2 linked regions of the Lytechinus pictus genome follow. The protein of the gene in region 1 interacts with the protein of each later gene in a pairwise test. Links are inferred from orthologs where the notes say so. Each region holds a gene or a part of one and is shown on either strand. Other genes may lie near its edges. The genes, in order: cysteine-rich motor neuron 1 protein-like and zonadhesin-like.

Region 1 (16,111 bases):
AACTTCGCCGGTGAAAAGCGCAATATGAAAGGGGTATACAGGTAAATGATTCTTTACACCTACTTCATAAACTGCTCATCACCCTTTCGATTGCATTCAGGATAACCTCTCACATTTGCTTAATTACACATTACAGGGTTTAGTCACTATTGAATTTCAACTTGATGTGATTTCAATCTTGACAGATTAATGTTTCCCATCTTGAGTTTAATTTGTTTAGAATACATTGTGAGACAGATGAGGATCGGGGGGGGGGGGCACTTCCATTGACGAGTGGATACCATGCGCAACCATAGGGTCTCGAAAAGCACCCTAAACACGTATTTTCCATATTCTGAAAATGCACTCATCAACATTTATAAAACAATTTAGTCTTAAGTTTTTATACCATCGCAAAGTGTTTTTGACACCCTTATTACGTTACATATGCCCTATCTTGAAAAAGATATCCTTTTTACGTGTTTTTTACGAGTGGATACCATGTATCAAAGTGTTTTTGACACCCTTATTACGTTACGTATGCCCTATCTTGAAAAAGACATCCTTTTTACGTGTTTTTACGAGTGGATACCATGTATCAAAGTGTTTTTGACACCCTTATTACGTTACGTATGCCCTATCTTGAAAAAGACATCCTTTTTACGTGTTTTTACGAGTTGATACCATGTATCAAAGTGTTTTTGACACCCTTATTACGTTACGTATGCCCTATCTTGAAAAAGACATCCTTTTTAAGTGTTTTTTTGGTCGCGCATGGTATCCACTCGTCAATGTAAATGGCCCCCCACCCCTCCCTGGATGAGGATGGATATTATTGGGTTATGATTCCCAAGTTGCATAGTATTTCTTCATTGAAAATTATCTTTGTCAACATTTTGTTTGAACACGCATTTTTATATGAACATTCTTGTTAGCTTAAAACTCGCTTGAAAGCAACACCACAAAAAATTAAGTCTAAATAAATTCACATTTCTGTTATCCGCTGATGGTTTTTTCACCCAACCTTCATTGATACTTGTTTTCTTTTATTCTTTTTTAAAACCAACCTGACATCAGATTGAACTTCACTTCTAGTCTAAATGACCATTCCTAGTATCATCTATCTAGCCTTAGCTCTCATTTTAGATTTGACCTGACACTGACCTTCTAGAGACTATCAATACCAATTTACTAGGAATGCCATCTTATTTTCTACTACACAACATAACAATTGTGTCATATCCCTGCATTTCCATAATGAATGTTGAGGTCCTTTCATATCCAGTTAATCACAGAAAATACTTGGTATTTTCTAATCAGGAATTCTACCATGATCAATTACAAATTATTATTTTTTTCATGTTAGATTTTAGAGACAGTTGGATGTCTGTTCATGAAATTCAAAAGTGTTGAAAAGTCTAATTCCATAATTCCTTTTATATCTAATTATCCTGGTATTCAAAATTCAGTCAAATACTAAAGCCATCCAAAATTGCTGCAAAACCAAAGCTAGGCCAATACATTTATAAATTTATTTTATAATTTTTGTTTGACCCTCTTTGAACAGATAGTGTGAACATAGTGATGTGTTGTATGATATGAATTGTGAATCAAAGATGATATTGAAGCGCTCCTTCAGAGGGTTAAATTGAAGTGATAATTGTGTTGTAAATATATACTCAGGATGGGTGTGTCTTCTATTCATCTTGCTCAGAGTGGGATAAGTAAAGCAACCAAGTGTTTTCTTCTACCAGACTAAACATTTCAGGTAAACATTGTCTTAGAAGAATACAATATGAGGCTCATTATCTGCACTAAATGATATTTGCTTCAGCTACAGCATCCTTCAGGGTGCGTCAATATTAGTGTTAGCATGGACCCTTTTGTCATCGCTGTGAAGTTATGAATGGTTTTCAGGGCAGTAAAAAGATTTCTGGGTTGTGTTTTATTGCCTTGCGTGACAATGCGACAAACTTTTCAGGTATTTTTGTTCACACACCCCTTGGACTTGAAACATTCATATTCCCTTCGGAATGACTCTCTGAATTGAATACATTTTTTGCGTCAAGATTGGTTGAAATTGAAAAGAAGTGCATTAAAATTCCTCATCAAATATAACCCAAATATCAATAGGTTTGCAATCACTGTATTATGCTAATGCAAGGTGTGATTTAAATTTGATTGTGTATTTCCAATGAGCTATGTAACTACAGTCTTTTGTTCATGACAAGCGAATGTAGGGTTTTGAATCAAGTATTTGCCTTCCTGTTCCATCTGTATAATTTGGTCGCTCTAGTTATAACTAGATCTTGATGTATACAAACTTTGTTTGCCTTACCTTAAGAGTGCAGTGGCTGAGCACTGTATAAAACCATTCATTTTAGCAAAAATTGATTAAATTTGTTCTCGGTGATTAGATAAGCTGGTGTCTCCAGCGATGTTGCTGTTTAACCTTTACCCAAATTTACTGCTAAATTGAATAATGGTTTTATGGTGTCCCATGCAACAGTAATTGACAAACTAAGCACACTGTACAGACCTTATGCCGTACAACCAGCGTTCTCTTTATCTTACCCAGAACCTTTGCTAAATGAAGCAAAAACACATTTCAATATTTTATGAAATAAATCAATGTGTCTTAGATTAACAAGTGGGTAGAAAAATACATAGTTATATCTTTTAATTTAAAAAATATTAAATTTGCTTGAGAAAATAACGATTTTAGTTTGAAATTAGTTTAGTTTGATCTAATACAGATATCTGATTTTGAGATTCATTGTGATATCACTAAGGCTTTTACCTCATTACATGGTTACAGGATCCACACTAATTTACCATTTGTAAGGTAAAAGTATTAGATAAAACTTGTGTAGAATGGTGTAGATTGCTATGAACTCAGTTCAGTTTATTGCATTGACGCCTACAGGCAACAATGCTCTGTTCCGTATTCCTATTCCGTCGTCTTCTTCTTCTGTCTTCTGTCTGCTTCTTCCACAAAATCCCATTCGTTTAACACATAGTTTTTGTTAGCTCTGCGCTGGCTCCGTCCCTCATCCAAATTCATTCAAATTTGGTAGACATGTTTTCCAGCACCCCTAGTTGTGCACCTCATCTTTCATTTTCCAAAATCACTCATGCATGACCATCCAGGCGCCATTTTGTAAATTTTAAGTCCATTTGCTTACCATTCCTAATTATAATCCCGTCCTAACTCCCGTATCCTGCATGCTACAGACTTCTAACAAATTGCAGTAGATAGTTTAAGAGTTGCTCTTTCATATATAAATACGATCTGCCCTTCAAAATGCCGTCTTCTTGCACTAAATTCAAGTCCAAGATAGTCTACATTCAAAATGTTCATATTTATTGAAATATAAGTAGGAAAATCGTAAAATGGCCATAACTTCCTCGTTTTTATACATTATGGTGTTATATTTTCAGGGTTTGCTTATGGTATCATCCCTAAAATGCCAAATGTTTTTTACGCATCAGTGACCATTACCTTTAGAAATAGCGCCCTCTATTGTTTTCAATTATTTTAGTCTCATATTTTCAGGGTTTGCTTATGGTATCATCCCTCATAATTCAAATGTTTTTTTTAAACTCAACATTGACCACTACGTTAATAAATAGCGCCCTCTATTGAAAAGTGGAAAATATTAAATTTACCCTAACTTCCTCGTTTTCATCCATTTTGGTCTCATATTTTCAGGGTTTGCTTAAGGTAACATCTTTCATAATTCACTGGTTTGTTACTCATCAGTGACCATTACCTTTAGAAATAGCGCCCTCTATTGAAAAGTCAAAAATAGTAATATTACCATAACTTCCTTGTTTATATTCATTTTGGTGTCATATTTTGAGGGTTTGCCTATGGTATCATCCCTAAATTGCCAAATGTTTTTGTATGCATCAGTGACTATAACCTTTAGAAATAGCACCCTCTATTGCAAAGTCAGAAAATTGTAAAATTGCCATAACTTCCTTGTTTGAATTCATTTTGATCTCATATTTTCAGGGTTTGCCATTTGTATCATTTCACATAATCCAACTGTGTTTTACACATCAGTGACCATTTCCTTTAAGAAATAGCGCCCTCTAATATTTTCAGAATGTATATCATCTAGAGTTTTCTCTCTATCTCCTGTTTCTTGCCCTCTATTAAATCACAGGCGTCAATGCATGCACATCATTCTGAAACGATTGCAGTTCTAGTTATAACTGCTATAGTTCAAAGTCCAAAATTTAGGGATGAATCAAATTACAATGACATACATATATTCAAAATATAAAAAGAAAACACAATCATGAAATTTTACTTGCTAAGTAAGCTTTTACTTGTAAGGTCGCAAGTTTACTTAGATCTTGGTTTAATTACAAACACATCACAGCAAAGTTGTTTGAAAAACTGAAAAAAATATTCCTCATGCCATCACACCAAACAGACCCTCTCCAGTAATTAAAATAACAGTTCCTTTCGATTGAAATTAAAATTTAATTTTGGATCCTTGCCTGAATACAATTATTTTGGATTAATATTCAATGTAGACGTTTTAAGATTGGAGCAGAGGGGTAACAAGATAGCAGAGAATAGACAAGAAAAGTGTAAATTGGAAGCTGTAAATACAATGTTGATGTGATGAGAAGTGACAAGACGCATAGTTGTTTGTTATAAGATACTCCCTATCATACACCTGCCTACCTATATTCTCTAGTCTCTAGGCATATTCAGACTGCCTCGAAGTTCGTAAGTTCCAGGTATTCTCTGATCGGGAAATTTTCCCTGATCTACCCTCATCAGAAAATACCAGGTAATTTTGGCAATGTGAAAGCAAATTAACGTAATATCCCCAAAAGAAATTACCTGCTAAATACTAGGTACTTGTATAAATGACAACAAAATTTGCGGGGATTTTGGTCCAATGTTACAGGTATTTTGGCAGTGTGAAGGCAAAATACAGGAACTTACTTTCCAATCGTGTATTTGGGCATGGGCGCTGTGGGTAGCTGCTAAGCTAGCGAGCTTGAGTCTCGTGCCTTACTAGCCTCTTGTCTAGGCCTTGGCGGCTGCTTCCCGAGCGAAGCGAGGGATTTCCTAATTCGAATTAGGCCTGGCGCGAGCCAGGGCCTCTTGACATATGAGCTGAATTATATATTCACGAGGAACGTCTTCCTAATGAATATACATGAGTCATGATATTACCGGTCACCTAGTAAACTAATGAAATGTCAAAGCTGTTTCGTCCGGGTTTCGGAATACTATAGTAGTCCACTATTCTGCAGGGGATTCATTTAATTGCGGGACACTAAAGGGGATATAACCAGCAAAATGCTACAAGTAGTGGTACTATACTACTGCTACTACTATAGTACTGGCCGTAACATGCAGACCCATCACCACCCCAAAACTTCCTGGGAGATACTGGTCAGCCGCTGGTCAGACTCGAGTCAAGGGGAAGCTCCACTCCAGCATTAATCCCTCACTGCACAGAGGAGATCGATAATCGACGCATAGTGGAATCGCTGAAAAATATTACATTTTTTCCATATCCTGTGGGTATATTTACAAAACATCTCGTCCTGTCAGTGCAGATTTAATTTCATAGAATTGCAAATCCTTAAATCGGTCAATATTCAGCATTTTTAGAGGCATATTCAATGCTCTTTCATATTTTGTCGTCACTCTTCGCCAAGAATCCACGGGTCGCCATTCAAGATGAGCTCATGAATATTCAATATGACGTCATAGCGGCCCGCGCTCTCATTGGATGATTTTCACCGACCAGTTCTTGGTCGGAATATTGGTAAAAAAACAATAATAAACAAAAGAAATTCAGCCCAGATGTCTAGAGGCCCTGTCTCGCAGCGCTCTGCTTCGCTCTCTCCCTTGCTTAGCCATGTTCGTTTGGAAAGCAGCCGACAGGGCCTCGACAAGAGGCTAGTGCCTTACCTGCTTATCAGACCATACTTTGCAGTTTGACCCAGGAAGTATAGGTCAACTTTTTGCGCGTGTTTCGGTCACTAAAATAAAAGGTAAGAATCCTTTTATTTCCATGGTTTCAGCTCTCGAAAAAACACATTTTGCTTTCAGAATTCAGTCTTTTATACCTAATATTGTTTACTTTTATTCATCTAGTCGGTTTATCAAAAATGGTGTTCGGAAGTAAATTTCAGCATATATCCAATTTAATATTGGCACTGTTATAAAAACTGAGCTCATCGTCTTTAACTTTCCAGTTCATTTACTAGAGCTTAAAGTTGAAGCCATGAAAAAAACAAAATGAAATGCAGAAGACAATGCAATGACCCACACAGAACTCAAATAAATGCATGTGACAAGAAATACATGCATGGCACATAATTATGTACACAGACTGAGCGTAGCAGAGTCAAGCCGGAAGTAGCCCGACATAGTGACGTCATAGAATCATGATTCAAATCACGATTACGTTCATACAACCTTTTTTGTTCGTGATTCTACAGAAACATCTTTCCAAATGCCCCTTTTTCTGTGTTTCTTGTTTGTGATTTGAAAGACGTTTATTTTCACTTTTGACTATAAAACGCAATCGTGATTCTGCAGAATCATGATTTGAATCATGATTCAGATCATGATTCTAAGGTAAAAAAGTGGCGCATAAACGCACCCTAAATGGCTATAGACTGTTTTATGGACACACTGTTAAATTTTTTTTTAAAACAAAGTCCGACTGGAATTTTTTTTAAATGTCAGGAGCAGATCTATTATTGATTGGCATATCTCCCTTTCTGCATCTTGGCTCCCAGCATCTTTGTCAGCTATCATCTGAAATTGCAAACACTATTTATCATTCTATGTAAAGTGAAGATGATGTTGGTTTGAGTTCATCCATCTATGATTGATTAGATGCTATTCATGCAGAACAATGATCATTGGAAACCAATTACCTCCTCACATTGACTCAGTGAACTTGCTTCCAGACATGACTATAATGTGGCTTTTATTGGCTGATTAGGGTGGATCTCCATCAGACCAAGTTTGTTCATTTAGATTCTAGTCTGATCAGCCAACATAGATTGAAAGATTGAAGAGACAAAATCAGACCGAGAGGGCTATTTTTGCTCGAGTGTGGAATATGGCATAGATCTTGTTGTTTTACAGAACATGGTATAGTAACATGAATAAATTATTTGTATTCACTTGCAAAAATTAGCTGGATCATTCACCAAATAATGTACTATTTTGTAGAAGTCTTCTGATTTGAATTGTAATCTAAAGACCCCATGACATAGCCTGTATCTTCATTACAAATAATTGTGAGACTAATCTGATGATGATAATTTTCTGGGTTAGAAATAGCTGGAGAGTTTCTCTTTTTCTCTTCCCTAATAAATGCCTTGGCACAATGTTGAGCCATTTTCTCTTGCCATATGTTTACCCTCAAATATGATCACGTCCTTTGTTCAAATTTGTTCAAATTTTCATTAGGGCTTGATCATGAGCAAATTTCATTGTCCTGGGATCACCCGAGATTTTTTTATTTTGCCTCATTTTCTGTTTTGTATTTTGCCTCATTTTTTTTTTTCTTTTGCCCACACCGCTCATGTTTCCATGGATTTAGTGTTATTGTGTAGATGAAGTTGGTGAACTTTGCTTTTCAAAGGAAGTATTAGATGTATTCAATAGATGTCTGTGCTTGAAATGATATCAGGCCTGCCAAGTGCTGAGGACAGGTCAAAGATCATAGGAAAAGTTGTTTTATCCAATCATATGTGTCTACAGGTATTCATGTAACAGGGTCCAGGGGGCTGTTTCATAAAGCTTTTCTTAAATTAAGAGCGACTGGTGATCCTTTCTTATGTGCTAACCCATCGCCAATGAACATTTGGTGTATACCATTTACCAAAAGAAAGGATCACCAGTCATTCTTAAAGTCGCTCTTAACTTATGAACGGCTTTATGAAACACCCACCAGAACCTATTTTATAGTACATCAGCCACGTTTACATGTATTATCAGCTTTCACTTCTTGATTTCACAAATCACACACACACACATACATTATTTGCTTTATATGCTTTATAAATATGCATAAATCCTAATATTAATGTTGAAATATATGTTTCCAATTTTGTCTTCCAGAGCCAACTCCAGCAGACTGTTCTCAGGCACGCTGCGACATTGTTTTTGATATCCATTGTCCGCCAGATAGTCTAAAGATAGAGGCTCAACGGGAAGAAGGTGAATGCTGCCCTCGCCCCCCTCAGTGCTTATGTGACATGGGGGCGTGTCATGATGTTGTTTGTGCTGAGGGTTACCAGTATCATGAGATGAGTGCTGGTAATGGGAGGCCGGGATCATGCTGTGCTACATATGAATGCAGACCAATCAGTGAGTATATCAGAATTAGATGGGTATTGATAGACCTTTAAACAGTTAATCCACCATGATTCTTTAGCTGAAATTTGTTAGATGGTAGCAGGTATAGATGTATCTTTGCTCATGTGAATGTGAATTCAAAGAACAGTCTACACTCTAAAGGTGATGTCTAATCACATAACACAGTAATTAATTTATTACCATCTATTGGTGCTGAGGCTAAGATGTTCTAAGGCACCTGGTTAACACACAAAAGTTTGGGAACCAATTCCTTGAGCAAGGCATTTATCTGTGTTGCTCTTTATTATACAATGAATAAATAAAAGAGATATCCAATATCCATTGGTCCTTCAATTTTATTTTATTCTTTGAGCTATATGCATGTATATTTACCGATAGAAATGCCATATTTCACCTCCTTTGCAACAATTGTTCTCAATGTGTGCAATGACTCTGTTTAAAAAAAGGGTCTACATATGACTTTATGAATGACTTGAATAAGAAATACCAAATGATGTGTCATTTTTTTTTACAGATATTAAAAAACTTGTGATGGTTTCAAATGATCCCAATTATATTGTAATAAAAAAAATTATTCTTGCTTTTGATGAGGAAGAGTCATTTTTGTGAGCTCAATAAGAATGTTAATCTGCATAAATGATATTTTTCTAGCTAATTCAATAAAAATGGAATGATTAAATCTAGATTTACATATGGAATTTTGGATTGCCATGTTTCTATACCAGTATTAAACTGCTTTATGAAACCAAACCCATGTTCTGTTTATATGCTCCACATTCTTACTTGAATAATGTTTCTCTACAAATGCTTTAACATCTCCTAGATTATGTGAAATACTTGTGTCAGTGTAAAAAGTACTTGTTATCCCTAAAAGAAATGACAACAAATTGAAATAATTACTTTTCACAATTATGAATAGCTTTGCCTGGATTTCTTCTTGGTCAAATTAAAAAATCAAGGAGATTATCACCTTGGTAAAAAACTTGTGATAACTTTTGATATGTGGCAAGAAGAATGTTGTAGGGGAATGAAAATCTTCTTTCAAGCTCATAATTGCAGGAATTTTATCTGGTTGAGGTAGGTGTGAATGCAAAAAATGAAGTCTTATTCTCAAGCCTGAAAACTTATTTATTTTTGTGACTGGGCAAGTGTGAATGCAGCTTATATAGATCGTTTTCTGATATATTGAAAGCCTACAAATTACATTCTTTATCTGTGCATGCATTAGTCCACAATTCCTTTAAAAGAAAACCATTTCAAAGATCCTAATCCTAGGACATGTGATGACAAGGACCTACATGAAATGAAATAATCCATATCAATCATCTTTTTACTCTAGTTCATCAGAATATGAACTCTGTTCCCCTCTATTCCCATACCCCTGTCATGTCTTCTTTCCTTCATACAATATGAGCCATGCACTTTTTACAGAATGCCATCACAAACTAGAATCAATACCAGCCACAGAGTTTTATTTCAATTATGGAGTCTTTACATATTTTTTTTCTTCAGTTTTTGGAAGCAATAATGCTACTTTTCCTCTTATATTAGACTATAATAGTATAAAGTATTTTTTTAAATAATCAATTCATTTTTGTGAGCTTGTGAAAACCTATTGTTATCATGATAATGGTGTTGTAGTGAGTGAAAACTAGGTGGCAGAATTTATAGACACAGTGTAAGATCTCTAGGAATTTCCAAGCTAGTAAATGAAGAGTGTCTAGAACGTAGATCAACATTCAAAAGAAATGTTCAAGTTTGGATTAAAGTTCATAGGTAGTTTGCCCTCTTCTAAGAAAAAAAGGAGTTAGAAACTGTGAAAATAATGAATAATACTAATAATACATTTTGAAGGTTAGATAGACTTGAAGTACAATCTATATCTGCTTCAGGCAAAAGTACATAGGTCCATGGGACAAATTCCATTTTGCTCCTAAAATCTAAATTAGCCCTTGTTAGTGAATCTTCTTGATCTCCTTCATTTTAATTCTGAACTTACCTTTTGATGTCATCTAGATGGTTTTATGGCTTATTTGTTTAAAGTGCCTCAATTTGTAAAATGAAAGAGATATTGAAATTATAGCATGTTTTTTTTTGGAAGAAGACTAGCGAAAGAAGATGATGAATTGCAACTAAAATTGCTGTTCATTGTGCTAAACTCCTTTGGGATGTCATTTCAATTTTATTCTCTACCATTTCTAAGAGAGCGATACCAAATTATGGATCATATCAAAGACCACCCTATTCCTTGACACAGGATGGAGGGCATGATACCAGTTATGGCCAATTTAAGAAGTTTTTGTTTAAAAGTATCAGTTGTAATTATGGTGATTCATCATTTGAAATCTGATTTTTTGTTTGCTCATATTTTTTGGTCTAATACCAGTTGGTCTACTGTTATTCCCATATGTAATGTACTATCAATTAAGTTCAAATTCTACCATCACCACCACCACTACAACCACCACCATCACCACTACCATCACCACCTGAACACCACCACCACTGTCACCACCACTGTCGTCACCACCTGAACACCACCACCACTGTCATCACCACCACCACCACCACTGTCATCACCACCACCACCACCACTACCACCATCACCACCACTACCACCATCACCACTACCATTACCACCTGAACACCACCACCACTGTCACCACCACTGTCATCACCACCACCACCACCACCACTGTCATCACCACCACCACTACCAGCACCCCCTCCACCACCACCACCACTTGCACCTCCTGAAAACCACCTGAACACCACATTATGATTACTTCCTCTAATTCTAATACTACTCCTATTATTTCTGCAATTCTCCTACTACTACCACAACCTCTATGGTGACAATGATGACTAGTGCTGTTGCTACTGCCATTACTGCTGCTAGGACTAATAATGATGAACATGATTATTAGTTATTTTACAACTATCATACTTTCTATCACTTGGAGACCTCAATCCGGTGTATTAAGCACTACACAAAAAGCGGAATACTATTGTAATAATTACTTGTTATTACTTTTATTATTATTATTAATATTATTATTTTTTTTTTACTATTATTGTTTTCAATATTTATTTGTTATGGTTATGATACTTATTTGTTAATTATTATTATTTTTATTATTTCAGTGGACCCCAATCATTGCAATGGAGTTGTTTGTCCGGATAGCTCTGAAGAGATGTGTCCTCCTGATTCTAAGGCTGTGATGGGAGGAATGTCAGATGATGGCTGCTGTATCCTACCAAGCAGGTCAGTAAGGTTCCTGCTATGGAACTTCTTTGACAGCCCATAGAAACATGTGTTATATCCATGAAATTAGGGAGCATTTATGCTTCCACTTTTTAGGCCAGAATAAGAATTTTCAAACGTGATTAGGTCAAAACGCTATTGCATCCATGAGGAAATACAGTTGCATCATTACCTCTCAACTCCCTGGTTTTAATAATGAGCAAGAATTTGCAGGTATGATTATTGAATAAAGTGCTATTGTAGTTAATCCTTCTCTTATTCATCATCAGAATAAATGTTAAGAGATCATACTTACTGAACATGAGTTCTAATGAGGAGACATCACTGAGCCAAACAAAACCTGATGTCATTATTTGCTTGAATGTGTACTTACATACTCTATTTTGTCTTCCAATTACCCTCACCATGGTGGAATGGCTATGCCATTCCCTGGGGGGCTACTTAGCATAAATGTATGATATGTATATGGCGCGGTCGAGACCCCGATTTTCATTCTAAATTTCCGTTCCAGAGCATCACCAATTTAGAAAGTCATAGAAATTCCTATTTCCCCTGTTCCAGAGACCCTCAAATTTGTACTTTCTCGTTCCAGTACGCGCCCATCATTAACTACTCAGCCGGTCGGGGCGGCGAGCTCAATCAATGAGTTCCAGAGACCCCCATGTTTGATATGGTCAATTCCAAAGCAATGCATTTTTAGCAATTATTGATTCAAGGGCCATTCTGGAGACACCCATTTTAAAGACCAATATTTAGTTCCAGAGCCCCCTTTTTTCGACTTTGGTGTGGCACGTAGGTATCATGTTATAATTCGAGTAGCCCCCCCCCCCCCCCCCCCGGGGTGCCATCTAGCTCCATGCAATTACTAAAAGATCAGAAGTTGTTCAAAGTTAAAATAACAGTTGACCACTCCAACACTCTGCAAAAAAAAATTGAAAAAGGATGTGCCCAATTCGACTTCGCTTTCCTGCTCAATGTAAATTATAATGTGAAGCCAGCTGCAGATTCCGATTTTGCCTCTGGAAAAATTAAGCATAAACAGCACTCCCAGAACCATGTTTGCAATCAGCATTCTGAAATTGCATTTGGAAATGCCAATTCTGTCCTCGCAATGGAATCATAAACACACCCTTAGACATGTGAACATTTTGATAAACAGACACCCAAACCACCCCCAAAAACTTGATATAAACAGAGGACAAGCAGTTAGGAGTTTTTAGTTGTATTATCTGAATTCGTGTATGAAAAAAATTGATCTGGTGAAAAAAGTGATGAAAATAAAGATTACTGAATTACTGTTGTAACTCCGATTTATTGTTATAAATGTTGATATTCAGAACCCATATGACAGTCAAGCAACAGCAAGAAGCTGGCACTATAAAACACTTGTTAGAATTGATGTAATCACAGCAGGACTATTGACAACCTTGATTATTACAAACCACCTCCCATCCATCTGTGGCAATGACATTGGATTACACTTAAGTTACTGTAACTACGATTGGAATGAAAAGATAGTTGATGGAGACGATTGCATGATTTTAACCCATTGATTTTACCTTTGTTATTACATGATAGATGTAGCTGTGCCCTAGAGCGATGTATGACACCAGTCTGTTCTCAAGGTTATTCTCCTAGGAGAATAGCCAGTGGTACTATAGAACCTGGATCATGCTGTGATGTCTATGAATGTGTTGTTGGTAAGTATCATCAGTTAGGTTTCTCTGACCTGGGGAGCGTTTCATGAAAGGACTTGTCGGACGTTTTATCCGACAAGTCCCACTTTATCCGACAGTCACCATAGTAACAGTGCTTCTTAGCCAATCAGAATCAAGGAAAGTTGTCAGGTCTGACAACTTGTCGGACGGAAATGTTGATGAAACACTCCCCTGGTTCACTCTCACCTTTCCTGAATAATTCATGCTAGACCAATCTATCAGCGACCGCTACGGTAGTAAGGTGGACACATGAAGTGATTCAAGAAGCTATCCTGAAAACTATTTCTTAAGACCATGTAACGTCTTCTGTATAACAGTGCTTTATCTATGGGTTCATGGTTTGAATTGAAATATTGCAAAGAAGTACCCAGAGGTAGAGTGTATTCTTGGAGTTATGTAGACTATTGAGTCACAAGATGGAATGTTTCAAACTTCCTGAGAGCATTGACCTTATTGCCCAACAGTATCTCCAGTAGAGCTATACATTCTGCTGATGATGTCAACAGACTACATCTGGTGGGTGTTTCATAAAGCTGTTCCTAAAGTTACGCATGACTTTACAGAGGACTGGAACACCTCAGGTACTAAGTTAGCTATACAGGGTTATATCATTTGGCACGAGAAAGTGTCACCAGTCGTTCATAAAATCATATGTTACTTACAAACAGCTTCTTGAAACACCTACCCTGGACCACTTCATTGGATTAGTTTAAGATGATGACTGTCAACAGGGAATTCCATCAAATCTAAAGCAGTCTAAATCCAGACTCCTATACCAATAGGTCATTATTTCGCTGCATGTCTAGGTTTTTATTAAGTCATTTTCTTTATGTACAGACTTTTTAAAACATTTCGCAAAACTATATTCAAACAATATAGTACAATATCAATGATTAGTGAATATCACCTTGATATTTACTCTGAACTACTTGAGTATATCTACAAAATTGTGTTTCATGCATTTACACCTTGTGAGAACATACCCGACATTGAGTGAGAACATTCATTTACAACATCTAGTGTGAACATGCCTTAGAAACTATTAAGAACATGAATTTTCAACATCTACATGTAAAGTGAACAAAGTGTTGTATCTAGTGAAAACATGTCTCTGCATTAAATAAGCTTTTACATTTAGTATAAAGAGCATGGTCTTTACATCTCAGCCAAACTCTGTCATGATGCTTTTGTTGACATTTAAAACAAGATAATTTCACGGTGAGCTTCCATGCCATGATATCAGTGAATGTGAAGTTGAAAAGAAGCATGAAATTCACTCCAGAGTGTCCAAGGTGCAAGCATTGTTTAATTCCCTAAGCTCTAAAGATACTTTATAAAAGACAATGGGCGCAAGGATCCTTTGATGTTGTATTGGTTTCAAGTCTCTTTTGCCCCCATTCTATGTGGAGACACAGGAGAATGGATTTAGTGTTACCCCAAGTAGAATTACTGAATCAAATACCTATGTCTCACGTTTCCATCCTTTTTTAAGAGAATTAGTTTCAGGTTTGAAAATTTAGCAAAAAATGGGAGGAGTACTTTGTATATGCTAAATTGCTATATTGTGTTCTATGAAATGATATGCACACTTATTTTTGTATATATTTCCAAGCTTTAAATGTCAAAATTAGGCCTGAGACATCCTGTTTTTTTTTTTAACCTGTGGACCACCAAAATGAAGAAATACATGAGAAATTCAGTGTCACCAAATACTATGAATTTCAATCACTTTTTATTTCTTGATCTGTAAATCAAAATTTTCACATGAGACTAAATTTCCAAACCTAAAATTAACCAAGAAGAGCTATGAAAATAATAGAACTGAGCATGATCTCTCAATCTTCTTGCTTCAATTTATAGGCCCGAATTGTTTTAATCCCAGGTGCATGGGCACATCCATTTTAATCTGATTGCAATTTTTCCACTTTTAGTTACTCCTCTGCAGAATTGCAATTATAAACAAATGCGATCACAACCAGAATAAGATGGCTGTGCTCGTTAACAGGGATTATAATGTTTTGGGCTGATAAAATTCAAGCAAGAAAATTGAAAAATCTTGCTCATTACTATTTTCATAGCTTTACTTTGAAATTTAGTATCATGTGAAAGTTTTGATATATAGATCTAGATAAGGGAATAATGCTTTGAAAAGTGGTTGATATTAACAGTCTTTGAAGATACTGAATTTTTCATGTTTTTCTTTATTCTAGCAGTCTATCAGTCTGGAAGAAATTGCACCAGTGTCCCGGACTGACTGGTTCTACTCAGGCCTAATCAAAATGTATTTGATATTTATTGTAGATTCAGTTTTCAAACACATTCATTAATTGACAGAGATTTCATCATGTTTCATATATGTGATTTTTAGTTCAATATTAAGCAACCTGTTGTGATGGTTGCCAATATAGCAATTTTATTTTCGTATTATTAATTGAAGAGATCAGAAAATGAAATACAACTTTCTCACTCTCAAATTTTAGTGTGTGACTTTAAGAGTAACAATGTTCAGGTAAATTCTCTGTTTTATGCATGATGTATAATATGTTGTCATCAAATCAATTGATAAGAATCTGTATGTCCAACTTACTGTATATGATCAGTAAAGCAAAACCCGACCACATGGGATAAGAATCTACCTGACATGGGCCGTCAGTTCTGTGCAAGAAACTAGAACATCAACTTGCAAAGTAGATTGCAAACTTAATGTGAAAAGTAGGTTTGCTGACAAATTGCCCAGGGAAATTTCATCATGTACACCTGCAAGTCAAA
Region 2 (16,317 bases), on another chromosome or scaffold:
TTTGAACTGTGCAGCTTTCACCGCTGGTATCATTGAGGCTATACTAAATGGATGTAACTTTGTAAGTAAAAAAAAGGAAGAATATGTAAATATAAGGGAAGATGATCTTGATAATGTTGCATAAAAAATACTTAGTGTAGTAATAACTCAGCAAATTTCCATGGTAGCAGGGTTTAGAGCCAATTAAAATGAAGTATGAATAAATTGAAGAAAAAACTACCAGCCAAGTTTAACACAATTGGAGCTTAGTGTGGGGGTGCAATAGCTCAGTCGCTAGAGCGGGGGTTTCAGATTCCAGTGACCCGGGTTCGATTCCCACTTGATGCGCTAGTGCCCTTTGGTAAGGCATTAATCCTCACTACCAGGTCCCTTGGAGAGGACCTTAAGCCATCGCTCCTTTGGTTGCTTGCTTACAAGCATACATGCTTAATAGCAACCAGGTAAAAAAATCACCACCATTTACCAGTGTAAAAAGAATTATAAATATTTTGTAAAACTGAGGGGGATGGAGGGGCGGTGAGTTTTCATTGACAATTTATTTTTCTTTGAAAAGTTTAAGATTACTGGTAATTTATAGAGAAAACAAGTGAACAATTTCTGTGTTGAAAAACATATGATAAGAAGGATATCTTGCACCAAGCACCTTCAATCAATGATATTTGCAGTATCCACAATCAAGAACAAAGTTATGCAATTTTTTTTCCATATCAATTTCAACTCAAGACGTGAACAAGGCTTCAGTTAATCCTAGTCATCAATTCTCACCAAGAATGATCAAAGTTGATTTATATCTTGTCACCCACAGAGCTAATAAAATGCAGTGCCAGAAAAGTGCAATTCTTTTTGTCATAAATAATTTTTTTCTTATTTCCAGGTTGCAACCAATTTGGAATACCAATATCTAAGTTCATGTCTGTAGCTAGGGAAATGATAAATTCATTTGCGTTCACCTTTACAAAGTAACTTTCTTTACTAAGTCTAGAATGTCTTTTAAAAAATTATTGGAAACATCAAATATGATGTCTTATTTCAGAGATTAAACAGTGTTTGCATGATCACCTTTTGAAAGGAGACAAACTTTTCCCTCCTAAATCATTAATTCATGTTCTTAATTAGTTTGGAATAGTTAAAAGCATGTAGAGAAACTTTATTGATTATTATACATTTAATGAATTTAACATTATTACTATGAAATATGGAATCAAAAATGAGAAAGTCCTTGAAAAGAGAGAATATTCTTTGTTAAAAAGTAAAATTCCCTCTGTTTCTCAAATCTTTTTTGCCTCATAATCTACCAACTTGTAGGGCCATCATGGGAGTTGTTAAGCTGTATGTGAACATTCTTACATTTTATTAACCAACACTGAAAACTTCCTGAAACTGTATAGAATTGGCGGTTTGAAACATTACCAAATAATTTTATTTTGACATTTATGATTGAATTTGAAGGACTGAAATTGGGAGGCATAAATTAGCACCTGTGGATTAGACACATTGTTTCTCTCTTCCTGTCTCTGAATATAAATTAAAAAGAAAAATCCTGCAAAGTGTTCAGCCTACATTTATTTCCAGCTGTTTTTGAAGGGGTAAATTAGCATTAACAAAAAAAAATGGCTCACTGATAGCAAGCATGAATAGGGAACTGTATATATTTTCTATTTTATGTCAAGATAGGATAAACTAAAAAACAGAGTGTTCTGCTGAGATGTATTTCCAGCACATGTTTTAAGAAGGATGACTTGACATTAACAAAAGCAGAACAATTTGCTTTGCAAATGGATTGACATGTATGCCTATATAATTTTTTGTAGTGTCTATGTGAACATTTTAGATGAAATAGCAGTAAAAACAACAAATGAGCAAGGTTCACAGTTGGATAGATTTACAGAATTTATTTTAAAATAATATAAAAAGGGGTAGTTTTTAAAGACTGGTCAATGGTCAATCGTGTTCAATCAAAATAAAATGTTTGCATTTTTATGTCTTGTAAAACCCCTTTTAAACTACAGAATGAGCTGAAACTTTCAGGACATAATCTTTGTCAGGAGCTAATTTCCATTTGCTAAAGCTTTAAAGATAAATGCCAGTTGTGGTAACGATCTCAAAATGACTTTTTACAGAATCCAATATCTTGACCACCCAAGTGTCTGTTTTGTATGAATAAAAAATATGTGCCAAGGGATTCTGGAAGAAATTGTGTAATTGCTGAGAAAAATGCAAAATAAGTGCGGATTCAGGCACTTCCGTCTGGCCTGTATTCCAGCAATAATAATATACACTGTCCCACGCATGCCTATCTGTGTTGGCGATCTTCAGTGTGATCGTTTTTCAGCTTAGATTTTATGATTTCACAAAGTTCAGTTTATGTAACTGTACCAGATCGAGATCCATGATGTATAGTAATACTTAACCTTGGTTTTACAGACTTTCTCACGAAATCAGTGTTTTACTGCAACTACTTTCATTTAGCTTTAATGGGCTCAAAGGGCTTTAAAAAAAAAGACCATTGCTGAGATGGGGAGGTAATGCCAAATTCAATTTGTGATGGCTGGAAAATATGCCAAATTTGAATTCTAATTGCTGAAAAATTCATCATACTTAACTAATATCACTGACCCATTTCCAAAGCTTGAGATAGGCTTTTTGTTACTTGATTGCATGATGGCGCTATTGTAATCATGCCTTTCCCTAGATTGGAGCATTTTATCACAAAATAAGAAATCAATTTCACAATCTACATTGTGATTCTATTTATATTATAAATATATTCTTTGTATTGGTTATTACACTCAACAAATGATATAAATGTTTTGATTGATAACTTATTTATTGATAATCTTGAAGAAAAAATAAGTATTGGTAATCTCATTTCATGAAATTGTTTGAAAAAAGTGAGACCTATAGTTTCATTAGCTTACTAATTTTCTATAGTGTGATAAACCTATAAAACATTCTATAATACATAATTGTTTTACAAAGTAACAATGCCAAATGTCAAGGTGCTGCACTTATTTTATTGATTTCTCTGACATTTACCTGTGGAAATGTACAATATAGAACAACTATTGCTAGGTACCATAGACCGTTTTGGTGATATTATGGAGATTCAAAACTAGTGTTATGAGATATATGTTAAAAAAAACCTTTTAATATCTTAGTCAATATCTGTTTATTTTATAGGAAAATGGTATAATAATTACATCGCCTTTTCTCTTCCTTTTCTTTCCTCATTCTCCCATTCTTCTGTCATCTCCCTTCCCCCCCCCCCCCTCACACACAGCCGGCTAAGGTAACTGCTCATTGGCACAAAGGAACCACATACATGATCAAATTTGAAGACTCTGTTATTGCTAGAGACAAATCTCTGGAACAACGCTAGTCTTTCAGAAAAGCGTTTACTGTACAACCTGTGTATAAATACCGCTCAAGGATGACAAGAAAGAAGGACTTAATTGGCAGGTTGCTGTCTTAGGACCATTTGGGATGGACAGGACGGTGTCTCTCTAGGATGATCCTCTTTCTTTTATTACATGGTCTAAGGAGAACTACTATTCATGAGAAAGAAGTAAATGTGGTCTTAATATATACCATTTGCCATCTCAAAATATTCCAGTGGCATTGCACAAAGTGAAGATCATGTACCTGACTTCATGGCAACTGACAACTCTTCCACTTCTTGGTGACACTGAAGATGCCATTAGAATGATCTGTTGGAAGGACTTAAGATTTAAAAAAATATTATTTACATTTACCAGTGATGTATGATGATGGTTTGAATTATTAGGAGCCAGGAACATGTCTTGTACTGCTATACTCATTGAATATTGGACCAAAACTAGATATTTGGAGGAGCACATTGTGAGAGGCCTATGGGAGAGACAATCATTTGGCCTTTTTAAAAGGGGATGTTGCGTCTGGAAAGCATTTTGTCGACATTTTTTATCCACAAGTTGTCATATCTTTGGAACTTTCCTTTATTTTGATAAGCTTAGGAGCACAGTACCTATGGTAACTGTTAGATAAAATATACTTTGTCAGATGAAATGTCTAACAAGTCCTTTCATGTGAAATACTCCCCTAGATGTTTTAGCCAGCTTGTGCCAATGTACTGTATGTGTGGCAAGTGTTTTTTCTCCTTTTATCTGATGTGAAGGATCATTTGTGTTGATAAAAAAAAAATGAATTTAGAATCAAATAAACATACTTTTTATGTAGTTTGTGTCCATCAGCATATGCTGGCTAAAGTGGTGTGTCAGCCCCTATACTTGTACATGTAGGGACATGTACTTATTCATCTATTATTATGAATTAGATAAATTAGATTCGACCAATCGTGTCGCTGAATATAAATTTATATATTTTATGATTGATTGGCTGCTGAGCCTTTACTACGATGCTACTTTAACATAATGGGACAGTTAGCATGATTGAAAGTCCTTCATGAAACAACCCCCAAATCTACCTTTCAACATACTGAGAGATTTTGTTGAAAGAAGCCTAAATTAATGACACTTCTTTGAAAATAACCTTTAGCTAAAGCAATTGGAGACGTATACTAAGCCATTATGATGTCAAAATAGCAAAGAATTAAAGCCTCTTTTAGCTTTGGTAAATTCCCCAAAATGTGGCTATCACTATTCCAAATCATTACAAGATTATATGAATGTGTATGATGCCCTAAAACAGTGTTTTACAGGATACATTTTGTGATTGTACATGAATATGTATTTTGATCGGGTACTCGATCAAAATGTAATGGTTTTTCTATTTATTAGAAACCCATTCCAAACTGTTAACTTGGCTGAAAGTTTCAGGATATATTACTTTGCCTGTAGCCTCTAATTATCCAATTTCTAATTTTTTAAGATAAATAATAATAATATGCAACATTTATATAGGGCTTAATATAAAGCGCTGCATACTATTACCTTGGCTTTAGCATGGCTACTCTGAGCAGACGCTTGAGCATTCAAGGATTTTGTTCCTACCGGATACCCATTTATCACACCTCATTGCCCAAAAAGACTTATAATGGAAAATGAAAATAGTGTTAAGAGAGGGCGTTAGATACATGTAATTTGATTTGAATATCTAGATAATCATGGAGAATTGGCAGTTGAAATAATATCGAACATCTTCTACGAATTTTTAAGATTGGAAAGTTAGACGATACTCAAGTATAATGCACATTTTTTACCCCTTAGTGACGCACAATTAGATACCCGGGGGGGGGGGGGGAGGTTGCTGGAAGTTTGGGTTGATGCATTTTTTTTCCTTTTTCTTTGAGTAATTTTTTTTTAATAGTCCATTTTTTGGCACCTTTCAGATGATTTGTCAGTGGACCAAGTTTTTTTTTTATTCTGATGGTGAGTCAAGTTTTTTTTGGGGGGAAAAAACTTCCAGCCCCCCCCCCCCCCCCCCGGAGTTCTAATGGTGCGTCCCTTAGTGGCTTTAATAGGTAATTTGTAGACTTGTTTTGTAAAAAGACCTACATGCACAGACAAATTTTGTGTGTGTGGCTGGTTTGAATGTTATGAAGAAAAAATAGATATGACTCTTCGAAGTAAAACATGTATAGGTAAAAGTATCATAGCATCTCTTTGTGTAGCAATGAAATAAATTTAGTATCCGAATTGTGCAATACCAGCCTCATGTAATTATAGAAATTCGTTAATGTATGAATTTTTCCTTTGTAAAAGAAGAATGTCCTTGTCTGGTAGATTAAATGTGAGTCGAGTGATGAATTATATTATTGTATTTTAGTGCCGTCATGTTTGCGAGCACATCGGAATCAAATGACCTTTAGTAGTTATATACATGTAAAAGCACTTGGAGATGCTATTCTGAGTACATTAAATGCTCTACATGTACAAAAGTGGAATACTATTATCATTGGTATTATTATTGTTTAATATTATATGTACTGTGGCTGCTGCTACCGAAGACATAGAGAGTTTGGAATCTAGTCTTCACTCTAGACCTGGTATAATGGGTTAAAATGTCAATTTTGAGTCTGTGTTTGCAGACTACTCCAGCAATGCTTAGTTAGTCAACTCTCCTAATAATAGACGAGATCATTCCATTTGATTTTGGTTCTGATGATAAAGACATAATTCATTAGTACTGTGAATGGTGGATTTTTATGTAAAATGTTGTAATGATGATGATGATGATGGTGGTGGTGGTGGTGGTGATGATGTTGATTAAGATGATGATAATGGTGATGATTTTGATGATGATGATGATACTGTAGATAATGATCCCAACAGTGTTAGATTTATTCTTTGGTATGTGATGATTTTGATGATTGATGATCATGAGAGGAAGAAAGAAAGTGAGGGTAGTGAGGTTGGGGTTGGAGACAGGCGCGTAGCCAGGGGGGGGGGGGCGGTGGGGGCGGTCGCCACCCCCCCAAAACGTCCCCAAAAAGAAAAAAAAGAAGGGAAAAAAGAGAGGAGAAAAGGAAAAGGGAAGGGAGGAAAGGGAAGAAAGGTAGCTTTGTGTTTTTTTTTTTATTTTTTTTTAAAATTTTTTCTCAAAAGAGAATTAAACTCCTTCACTCTTGCTCTAAATATGAATTTTGCTTCCGCGCTGTGCGCGGTTAAATGACAATATTGAAGTTCTCCTTTGTTTCCCCCACCCTTTCTCTAACCCTGTTTTTCCACCTCAGCTATATGTGTTTCTTGCCAGTTAAAGTTCAAATGTATACATTAGGGCATGGAATTAGAGTAAAGTTATATCGAAGTATATGAAGTTATCTTTTTTTGATTGATCGCGCAACTTCTGGCCGGGTCGGTTCCGGGCGGGTAAAATCTTTATATCAATTTCTGCCGTCACCTCCATAAAGTCAACTTCTCCCGCTTTTCAGCTCATTACTAAACAACCATAATTTTGGGGCAAACAGTTTCCTGATTTAAAAAGAGGAAGGTATAAAATTTGTGTCGTATATACTAAATAAAAAAGTACAATATTTTTTATCAAATTCTATTAAACTTCATGTCATTTCCCTGCACATTCATCTCCTGTCATGTTTTGCGCCCTCAGTTTGAAATTTTGAATGACACCTAAGTTTCTTTATAATTCAAAATGAAGCGCTTCAGGATTAGTCAAAGAAATTAGGCATCCTTTTTTATATAATTTCAATAAATCACAGAAGTTTCAACTTTTTGAGCATTATTTTCTTTGTAATGAAGTTCAATAATCTTAGAAAATCAATTGAATTAGAGCCGATGGGGTATTAGAGATAGGCCTATCTGCATTTCATGAAACATCCGCCCTTTGAAATTTCAGAGTTTCATTGCTCGGGGAGGAATATTTTCCTCCTGGTATATACACTTCTTCTCTTCTGTTTTGCGAGTTAAAGATATGCACTGTCGCTAAATTGTTTGTAATCAAATCTGATCTTTCCAAGGGAAGTAATCAATATATCTTTGAGAATACCCGTTTCTCGGGACCCTTTTCATGGCAAAAAAATTGATAAAACGCTTTAGCTTCAGCGCTTTGCGCAGGGTTATTATTATTTTAATTTCCTCCATTGCCTTTTTTGTGCGTTCACAATCACTTTTGAAAGCAAGGTTCATGAAAACGAGGTTCAAAAGCACAATATAGTCAACTGAATTGGAGCTGATATAGGTACTAGAGACAAGAGAGACGGCTCCTTTTCATTTTAATTTATGAAACCCCAAAAGCTTCGTGCTTCGCGCGGGGGGGGGGGGAACTCCCCCTCCCTGCACCCACCCCCTAGGGAGCGCGCTTTGCGTGCTCTGTAAGTGTTGGCACGCTTCGCGTGCATTTACCGCCCCCTCCAAAATGAAATCCTGGCTACGCGGTTGGTTGGAGACAGGAGAAGAGAAATGTCTTCTATATATATATATACATATGCATTTGTTAGAAAAACCTCTGAAGAAGGAAAATAAACCAAAGTATGATTGATAAGGTTGAGAAATTTGAAAATAATGTTTGAGGAGAAAAACAAGCAATTGTAGGCCTACACTTGAGAAGACACTTGTTTCCAAAACAAATCAATATCATAACTCTTCTTCATTAGAAAATCTAAGTTTTGTTTGTTCCAAACTAGTACTCCTATATAAGGTTATTGCAAAATGCATTCTATTCCCATATTAGAGTAATCCTATTGTTAATAACTGCATACAAGAATACCAAACCTTGAGTAAGTGTCAATTGTGTATATTGTAAATCAAAGTGATAGAATTATGGGATGGTCAAGGGTTTGTTTTTGCAAATCAAGAGATGTGACAACTCCATCTGTTCACGTTACTGTCACACGATGGTACTGTGGTCCTTCAAAATTTCTTTTGTAATCCAAAGGGCGTTATATTTTTCTTAGAACGTAGCCTTTAAGCCTGATGTTAACCTTCATGTTTACAACTAAATATTGATTATTGTCAAATATCAAACGATATAATCATGGATTTTCGTTTCATGTTTTGAATGTAATTGGGATAAGCATGGGTTGTAATAGGTCCATGGGGTAAGCAAGGATTAATATTTTTGTTAACAAAGTGTGAATCAAATTAGAGTCGAGGGTTGGGATTATTCCATCTGTGCACACTATTGTCACGAACATAAACCAAATATTGGGGGTATTGTCAACGGTGATATTATAGGGAGGGGTTATTTGTCTAATATGTTGCAATCTGATTGGTTTAAACTAAATCACATGATCAATTGTAATTTGCACATCAAACACCTAGGGTCTGTTCTTATAAAACTTCTTATAACACCAAATTTACGATTACAGTTTAAAGCTACTGAAATCATGCAGTTTCATTTGGTGATAGTGAACTTGTTCTAGAAATTTAGAAATTATGCATTTGTTATCATAACGAGTATCTATGAAACGGGACCCAAGTAGTACTCTTGATCTTCACTTATCTTCCGAGTTTCTTCAGTCTTCTATACAATACAGTTTCAACACACATTTTCTTTATCTGGAGTGAGCTCATAATGAAAGTTATTGCACTGTATACTAACATTGGTAGAGGTGCATTGCACTGTGTGCTATCTGCTATTTAAATAAATGCTGTACAGTGTGTACTATCTGAGTTTGCTGGATTGTGTACTATCTTTAATTAAGGTTCATTGCACTTCAATGTTTATTTTTTTCTTAACTCATAGGTGCACAGTGCGTGCACTTAATTAAATTACCCCCCCCAAAAAAAGCATTATCCTTGTGCATGATCAAAACAAACTATTGTGCGCACCAAAAGCAATTGGCATGTGCATACAAGAGAGATTGAACTTTGTTGCTTTGTCAGTAATTAAGCAATGTTCAATCGTTCAGTTGACATTATTTTTGAAGAAAATGCCTTCCTTTTCTTTCTATGATTAGATCATTTCCAATGTTATACAGTACAAAGGAAAAAATATGGTTTCAGTGAATGAGATGTCAATTGTATCTTTCCAAAGCAAAGCTGAGGAAAGATAGCTTCAACCAAATGATAAATGTATTTTTTGTATTTTTTTTGGGGGGGTATTTTTTTACAAAGCTATATATATCAGTTATGCACATTGTATCTATCAGATTGTGTTATTTTTCAATAATAATCTTATCTGTATTTATTCTGTTCATAAAAGGGGGGGGGGTGCAACCCCACGGGTCTACTCCATTTCAGCACCTGTACCTGGTGTGGGACCAGATGCCATGGATCAATAATCTGGGTTTTGTTATTTATTTGAAAATATGTATTCTCACTTTGGAAATATATTCTCATAGATCAGAGGTAACAACCATCGAGGTAAGGCAAGTTTTATTTTTGTGCTCAAGTTGAACATTCATATTGCTAGGAATTTAGAAAAAAAATCCTGGCTTGTACCTCTTTTGGAAAGATTGATGAGGTGATTGTGAGAATTCATATAATTCTCTTGAATATTCAGTCATGGTTTTCATTCTCAGATTTTAAGCAATCTAAAGAGTCATCATATTTTTTAAAGAGCTGACACTTGTCAACCCTTATCTTACCAAAAAGAAAGGTAGAACAAACTTTTTCATCACACAACCCTGTACATTGAGTAGTCCTTTTCTGAAGCGTAAATAGATAATGAAAATGATATGTTGGGTTTAATATAACTTTAAGTACTTTGTTTTGAAGTCAAATACACATATTTTTTTAAAATTTGTCATCAGAATTGAAGAAACGATAGGAGAGACTTTATAACCTAGAACCTACCGATTCTAAAAGAATACTATCATTAATTACAGCTACATGTATGATAAAAGTTGGTCAATAAGATTTTTTATTAAAAAATGTTATGAGATGAATGTTCAAACCGAACTTATCAATGATTTTCGCTAGCATTTCTCAGAGTGTAGGTCTATTTACCTTAGCTCAGGGAGAGCAGGCCTTATCCTTATCTTTTTTATCAATATCATTATACATTCTTTCAGGATATTGGATTTTTGTGACTGCTGTATTAAACATAATGGCAATTACATATTTCCATTGTCAAAGGGTTATAGAACTTAATAACCTTTGAAATACTTATAATATCTAGCCCTAGGGGCCCGTTGCAGAAATAGTTGCGTTTAAACGCAAGTAAAAAAATCAATGGCAAGTCCCAAATGCGTGCTGTTGATTGGTTGAAAATCAAGTTGCGATTGATTTGTAGAGTTTCTATTAATTGCAACTCTTTCTGCAACGGGCCCCTGAACTTACAGGAGTGTTTTCATTAAGATTTTGAAATACCTTTGTTTTGTTTATTTCAGTTGTGTTTTCAAGATGTTTTCAAGAATGTTCATCCCATTGTTGGTCGGGCTACTTGCTGCATCAACAGAAGCAAACTGTAAGTTTATTTTCAAATTATATTTCTTTTCTCAGGAGATCTTTGTATGTTTGCATGGTTGTACATATATCATAGAAGAGGCTTATGTTTCACCATTTTATTGGGCAAGAGAAGAACTACTGGATGGTGGATTGATAGAGATGAAGAAAAATGAAAGATGCGAAAGAGAAAGATGAGAGGGAAAGTATCTTTTTCCTAAGGAGGACTGTAAACTAGATGGAATTGATGATGAGAAATCCTGCCAGTGGTGAGTAGAAGATTAGTGGATGAGTTGAGATGAGATGAGAAGTCCTGCTAATGGTGAGCAGAAGATAAGTAGATGAGTTGAGATGAGAAAGTGCTGCTAATGGTGAGCAGAAGATTAGTAGATGAGTTGAGAGGAGTTGAGAAAACCTGCCAGTGATGAGTAGAAGATTAGTGGATGAGTTGAGATGAGATGAGAAGTCCTGCTGAGGTGAGTAGAAGATTAGTGGATGAGTTGAGATGAGAAATCCTGCCAGTGGTGAGTAGAAGATTAGTGGATGAGTTGAGATGAGAAATCCTGCCAGTGGTGAGTAGAAGATTAGTGGATGAGTTGAGATGAGAAATCCTGCCAGTGGTGAGTAGAAGATTAGTGGATGAGTTGAGATGAGAAGTCCTGCTGCAGTGAGTAGAAGATAAGTAGATGAGTTGAGATGAGAGAGTGCTGCTAATGGTGAGCAGAAGATAAGTAGATGAGTTGAGAGGAGTTGAGAAAACCTGCCAGTGATGAGTAGAAGATTAGTGGATGAGTTGAGATGAGATGAGAAGTCCTGCTGCGGTGAGTAGAAGATAAGTTAAGTTGATGTGTAGAGGAGTTGTGAGTAGAAGATTAGTGGATGAGTTGAGATGAGAAATCCTGCCAGTGGTGAGTAGAAGATTAGTGGATGAGTTGAGATGAGAAGTCCTGCTGCAGTGAGTAGAAGATAAGTAGATGAGTTGAGATGAGAGAGTGCTGCTAATGGTGAGCAGAAGATAAGTAGATGAGTTGAGAGGAGTTGAGAAATCCTGCTGGCAGCAAGTAGAAGACAGTAGATGAGTTGAGAGGCAGTGAATAGAAGATAAGTACATGTTTAATTGACCAAAAGTTTAATTTGTTGTGAATTTCCTATTTTACTTCTGATTTTGATGAAATGAAAGAGTTGTTAGATTTTATCATCTTTCAAATCAACTTTTTGTTAAGGTGGGCTTCCCCTTTAATATGCAAGTCTTACATACGTAAAATTAATTAAGGGGAAATTATTGCTAAGTAACTTGTTGTGTTGCTTTGACTTTTGCAGTAGCGGCAGCTCCAGAGCCAGAATGTGCCGAAGGCATGCTCCTTGATACTTGTGGCGCACCTTGCCCTGAGCCATCATGCAGCAACCCACAGCCAATATTTTGCAGAGCGGCTTGTCTGAACATACCAAAATGCATCTGTGATCGAAATAATGGATATGTCCGGGATGAGAACGGTGACTGTATTCAAGTAGAACAATGTCCACCAAGTAAGTTTGAAATAACTCTTATTAATTCAAGTGATAATCTGTTATGTCTTGATGAACTTCCTTATTTCCTGCATGTTTTCCTGTATTGTCTCACTCTTCTTGTATTTGTTGCCATGGTAATATTCTATTTTCTTGATCTTCAGAATGTGCTGAAGGCATGGTTCTTGATACTTGTGGTGCACCTTGTCCTGAGCCATCATGCAGCAACCCACAGCCAATATTTTGTAGAGCGGCTTGTCAGAACATACCAAAATGCATCTGTGATCGAAAAAATGGATATGTCCGGGATGAGAACGGTGACTGTATTCAAGTAGAACAATGTCCACCAAGTAAGTTTTGAAGGGTCCTCTTCTCATTTCCAGAGATATTCTTTTATGTCATGATATTTCTTCCTTATCTCCTTCACATTTTCCTGAAATATTGTTTTACTCTTCTTGTATTTGTTGCCATGGTAATAGTCTATTTTCTTGTTCTTCAGAATGTTCTGACAGTATGGTCCTTGATACTTTTGGTGTACCTTGTCCAAAGCCAACATGCATCTCATCTTACATGGTCTTTTCCCATTCTGTCTACAACCACTTTGTCTAATAACCTTTTGGTCAATTTACCACTTGAACTACGTGTATTTTACTATTACATCTAATTACCATTTGGTCTATACCCAATTTGTATACTATAACTTGGTATAAGACTGCTTGGTCTTAGTATGGTTGCAAAAAGTGAAGTTATTAATCAAATTTTTATTTGATAAATGAAAAAAAAAAGAAATGAGTAGAAAAAATGGAAAGTTGATCAACTAGGCATTAGAAAAAGTGAGTATAAAACCAAGTGTAATGTAGACCAAACGGCAACAAGATCAAATGTGTTTAGCTCATATGTTATTAGACTATCTGAGAAGAAAACCAGCTGTTTGTTGGCCAAGTGAATATAAACTGTTAAAACTTGGTCTCTTAATTCAGAGAGTGTGCCAACATGCACAATATTCAATGTGCAGTCTCGTCGATTGAGAGGGCGTCCATGAGCATGATTACTCATTCTATAAGTGTCAAATATGAAATCAAAATACACTTGATGATTGAGATATCTATGCCTAAAAAAAGTTGCCTCTTTTCTGGGACACACTATAGAGTATCCACTCATCTTTCCTCCATGCAGGTTGTGGCGAGAACGAGGTCTTCTCTAACTGTGATTCCATTTGTCGGAGAACCTGTGAAAATAAAAATTTAAACTTAGCCTGCAAAGCTCCTTGTTCTCCTGGATGTGTCTGTGACGAAGCCAGAGGGTTTATCCGCGATCGCAATGAAAACGGCCAATGCATTCTAGAATCACAATGTCCACCTGGTAAGTAGCAATTGATCCTCGGCAAAGGGAGGGTGGGACTAGGGTGACCAGACTCTTTAAGAATTATTCTAATCTCCTTCCTAACCAGCTTATAATAATTGTATGAAGGGCAGCCCCATGTCTGTGCACCTAGAAATTTAACTTGAGATTGAACAGGAATTTCCTTTTATTCCATAAAAAATGTCAGTGGATAATGTTCCTTATATTATTATGAGTAAGGGTGCCAAAATCTTGTGAAAATCTTGGCCAATCATTGTCAGATTGAAAAAAAAAAAAATTGTACCCCATGTCTGTGCATCCTCTCACTTTACACATGATTCAGATATTTTGATGAGAAAAGCTGCATATCGAGGCCCTCACATTGAATGCCTGGAATTCAATATTTTCCTTATTTTGAGTCAAGTTTTCATTGAATATTTGTCTATGTATTACAATTGTAAAATATGAGGTCATTGCATGTCTTCTTTTATTAGAATTGCGCAGATACGCGTATGCACAGACAAGGGACACTGTACAGACTTTGCATGGGCACCTTACCTTCATTGCTTTCTCTGTTATAAAGTCTCATGGGAGACAACTCTTGTTTCTTGGTGGACGCCATGCTCGTCCATGAATTTTCAAGATGTCAGAGTACCCCATTCATTTTTTCCCAACACTGAATAATGTCTCAAATATTCTATGTTTATGATAGGACAAAAAATATACCCTTTCCCCTTTCTGATTCTTGCATGGCTGTTGAAAAGTATACCCTTTTTCCTGATTTTGGCAAGTTTGATACCCTTTTCACTGTCCGTGCATATATGATTGTGAAAAACACCCGCTTTACACCCACTTTTGTGGACAAGCATGGTGTCCACCCAGATTTGACGCCCCTCCCCTGCCCCACTGGTATTCTTAACCATCTTTCTCACCTTGTAGTTTGTGGAGAGAACGAGTCTCCTGGATGCGAAGCCTGTCAGAAGACGTGTGAAAATAAGAACCAAAAACTCCCATGTCCTCTGAATTGTGAAGAATCATGTGTTTGTGATGACGGATATGTCCGCGATGGAAACGGTCGATGTGTTCTGGAAGCAGAATGTCCAGATCCAGGTAAGCAGATCAGGGATTCATTTTAAGAAACAATAGTCATTGATTTTCACTAAATAACTTATAAACTACTGAAATACTTGTTTCTCATTGGCTTAGATCAAATTTGTCAATGAAAATCACTGATGTTTCATGAAACACTCCCCCCCCCTACATCCATATAATTTTGTTTATCATTTTTCTCATTGTTTATTTTAATTTCACCATTTTCAGTGTCTTTCATCTTAATAGTCTTCTCACCTCCTCTCTCCTTTCATTTACACATTTAATTGATACTTATCTATTAGTTAATCTTGGCCAAATTTAAGCAGAGTGTCATCTGCACTCTCCAATGTGTGGCTGGATGCTTCTGTGAAGAAGGATTTGTCCGTTTGGTTGAAGACGGACCATGCGTTCCACCAGAGGAATGTCCAAGCGCAAGTTCGTGAAAGCAAATTATTTTCCTCAGTAGTGCTAATGACCTCAAAGAACACTTAAAGGTGTCATTGTATTTGGTCCCGTTGAATAAAGATTTGTTGTAATAAAAATTGCCCAATTTCTTTTTAATAAGTTTAAATAGTATCAGCCAATCAAACTGAATGATTTCAGTAAGCTTGTAACTGTTATCGCAAATTTGTTATTATAACAAGTTTTTCTGAAATAGGACCTTGGTTTGTTTAATACATTCTGAAGGTGCATGGAATATATACCATTGACTTCACATTTATTCATTTATCTATTTTTATGTCTCTCTCCAGACATAACAAGCCATCAAGTGTAAAAGTTATCCCCTCCCCCCCTCGATTGAGACTATCTTTCATATTATGTGCGCCCATGCATGCAGCTATTTAGGGTTTGCTTATGAGTTCTATGCACCAAAATTGGTGAAATTGTCAGCGATTTGAATAGACCTGCTGAAGGGAATAAAGAATTAATAATTGCTGGTTAATTTCTCAAAATGGCACATAAAAATGAAAAAAAAAAATGAAAAAATGAAGTTTTGAATTGCGTTTTTCCATTTAAACTTAGTTTTCAATTCTGATTAACAACAGAAGCGTGAGCAGAGATTTTGACATGGCATCCTGGAGAAATTAGGTAATGTGATGTCTTGTTTTTATGTCTTTTGGACTTCTCCACCTTCTCCCTTTCTGCCAATCTTGGCTGTCTCCTGTCATCCCATCTTTCTATAAGGATATTCACCAATGTCTTTTCTTCATTTGTTGTATTCCCTCTGTAGATTGTGGGGAGAATGAATCCTACACATCCTGTGGCTCAGCTTGTCCAAAAACTTGTGAGAATAAAGATGAGGAACAGTTCTGCATTACTCTTTGTGTTGAAGGATGTTTCTGTGACGATGGGTTCTTACGCGATGAAAACGGTCGATGTGTTCTGGAAAGTGAATGTCCATCAACAAGTAAGTGACTCCACCTTCCCATGGCCTCTGTGTTTCTGTTTTTATCTCTTCGACTTTTCCTCTTTCTCCTCCTTTCATACCTATCTTGGCTGTCTTCTGTCATCCCATCTGTCTATAAGGATATTCAACAATGTCTTCTTCATTTGTTGTATTCCCTCTGTAGATTGTGGGGAGAATGAATCCTACACA

Evidence for each region.
Region 2: the proteins of cysteine-rich motor neuron 1 protein-like (region 1) and zonadhesin-like interact in a two-hybrid assay, tested with the Caenorhabditis elegans proteins (2 studies listed by BioGRID). The link is inferred for Lytechinus pictus from reciprocal best matches to the Caenorhabditis elegans genes crim-1 and Y69H2.3.

Annotation. Positions count from the first base shown.
Region 1 is NC_087251.1:737,206-753,316, reverse strand, and holds the start of cysteine-rich motor neuron 1 protein-like, read left to right. Parts: upstream 1-8,103; 5' UTR 8,104-8,238; coding exon 8,239-8,350; intron 8,351-11,503; coding exon 11,504-11,624; intron 11,625-13,202; coding exon 13,203-13,324; intron 13,325-16,111.
Region 2 is NC_087255.1:32,035,736-32,052,052, reverse strand, and holds the start of zonadhesin-like, read left to right. Parts: upstream 1-9,740; 5' UTR 9,741-9,853; coding exon 9,854-9,858; intron 9,859-10,726; coding exon 10,727-10,803; intron 10,804-12,101; coding exon 12,102-12,308; intron 12,309-12,451; coding exon 12,452-12,637; intron 12,638-13,463; coding exon 13,464-13,649; intron 13,650-14,567; coding exon 14,568-14,738; intron 14,739-15,951; coding exon 15,952-16,128; intron 16,129-16,291; coding exon 16,292-16,317.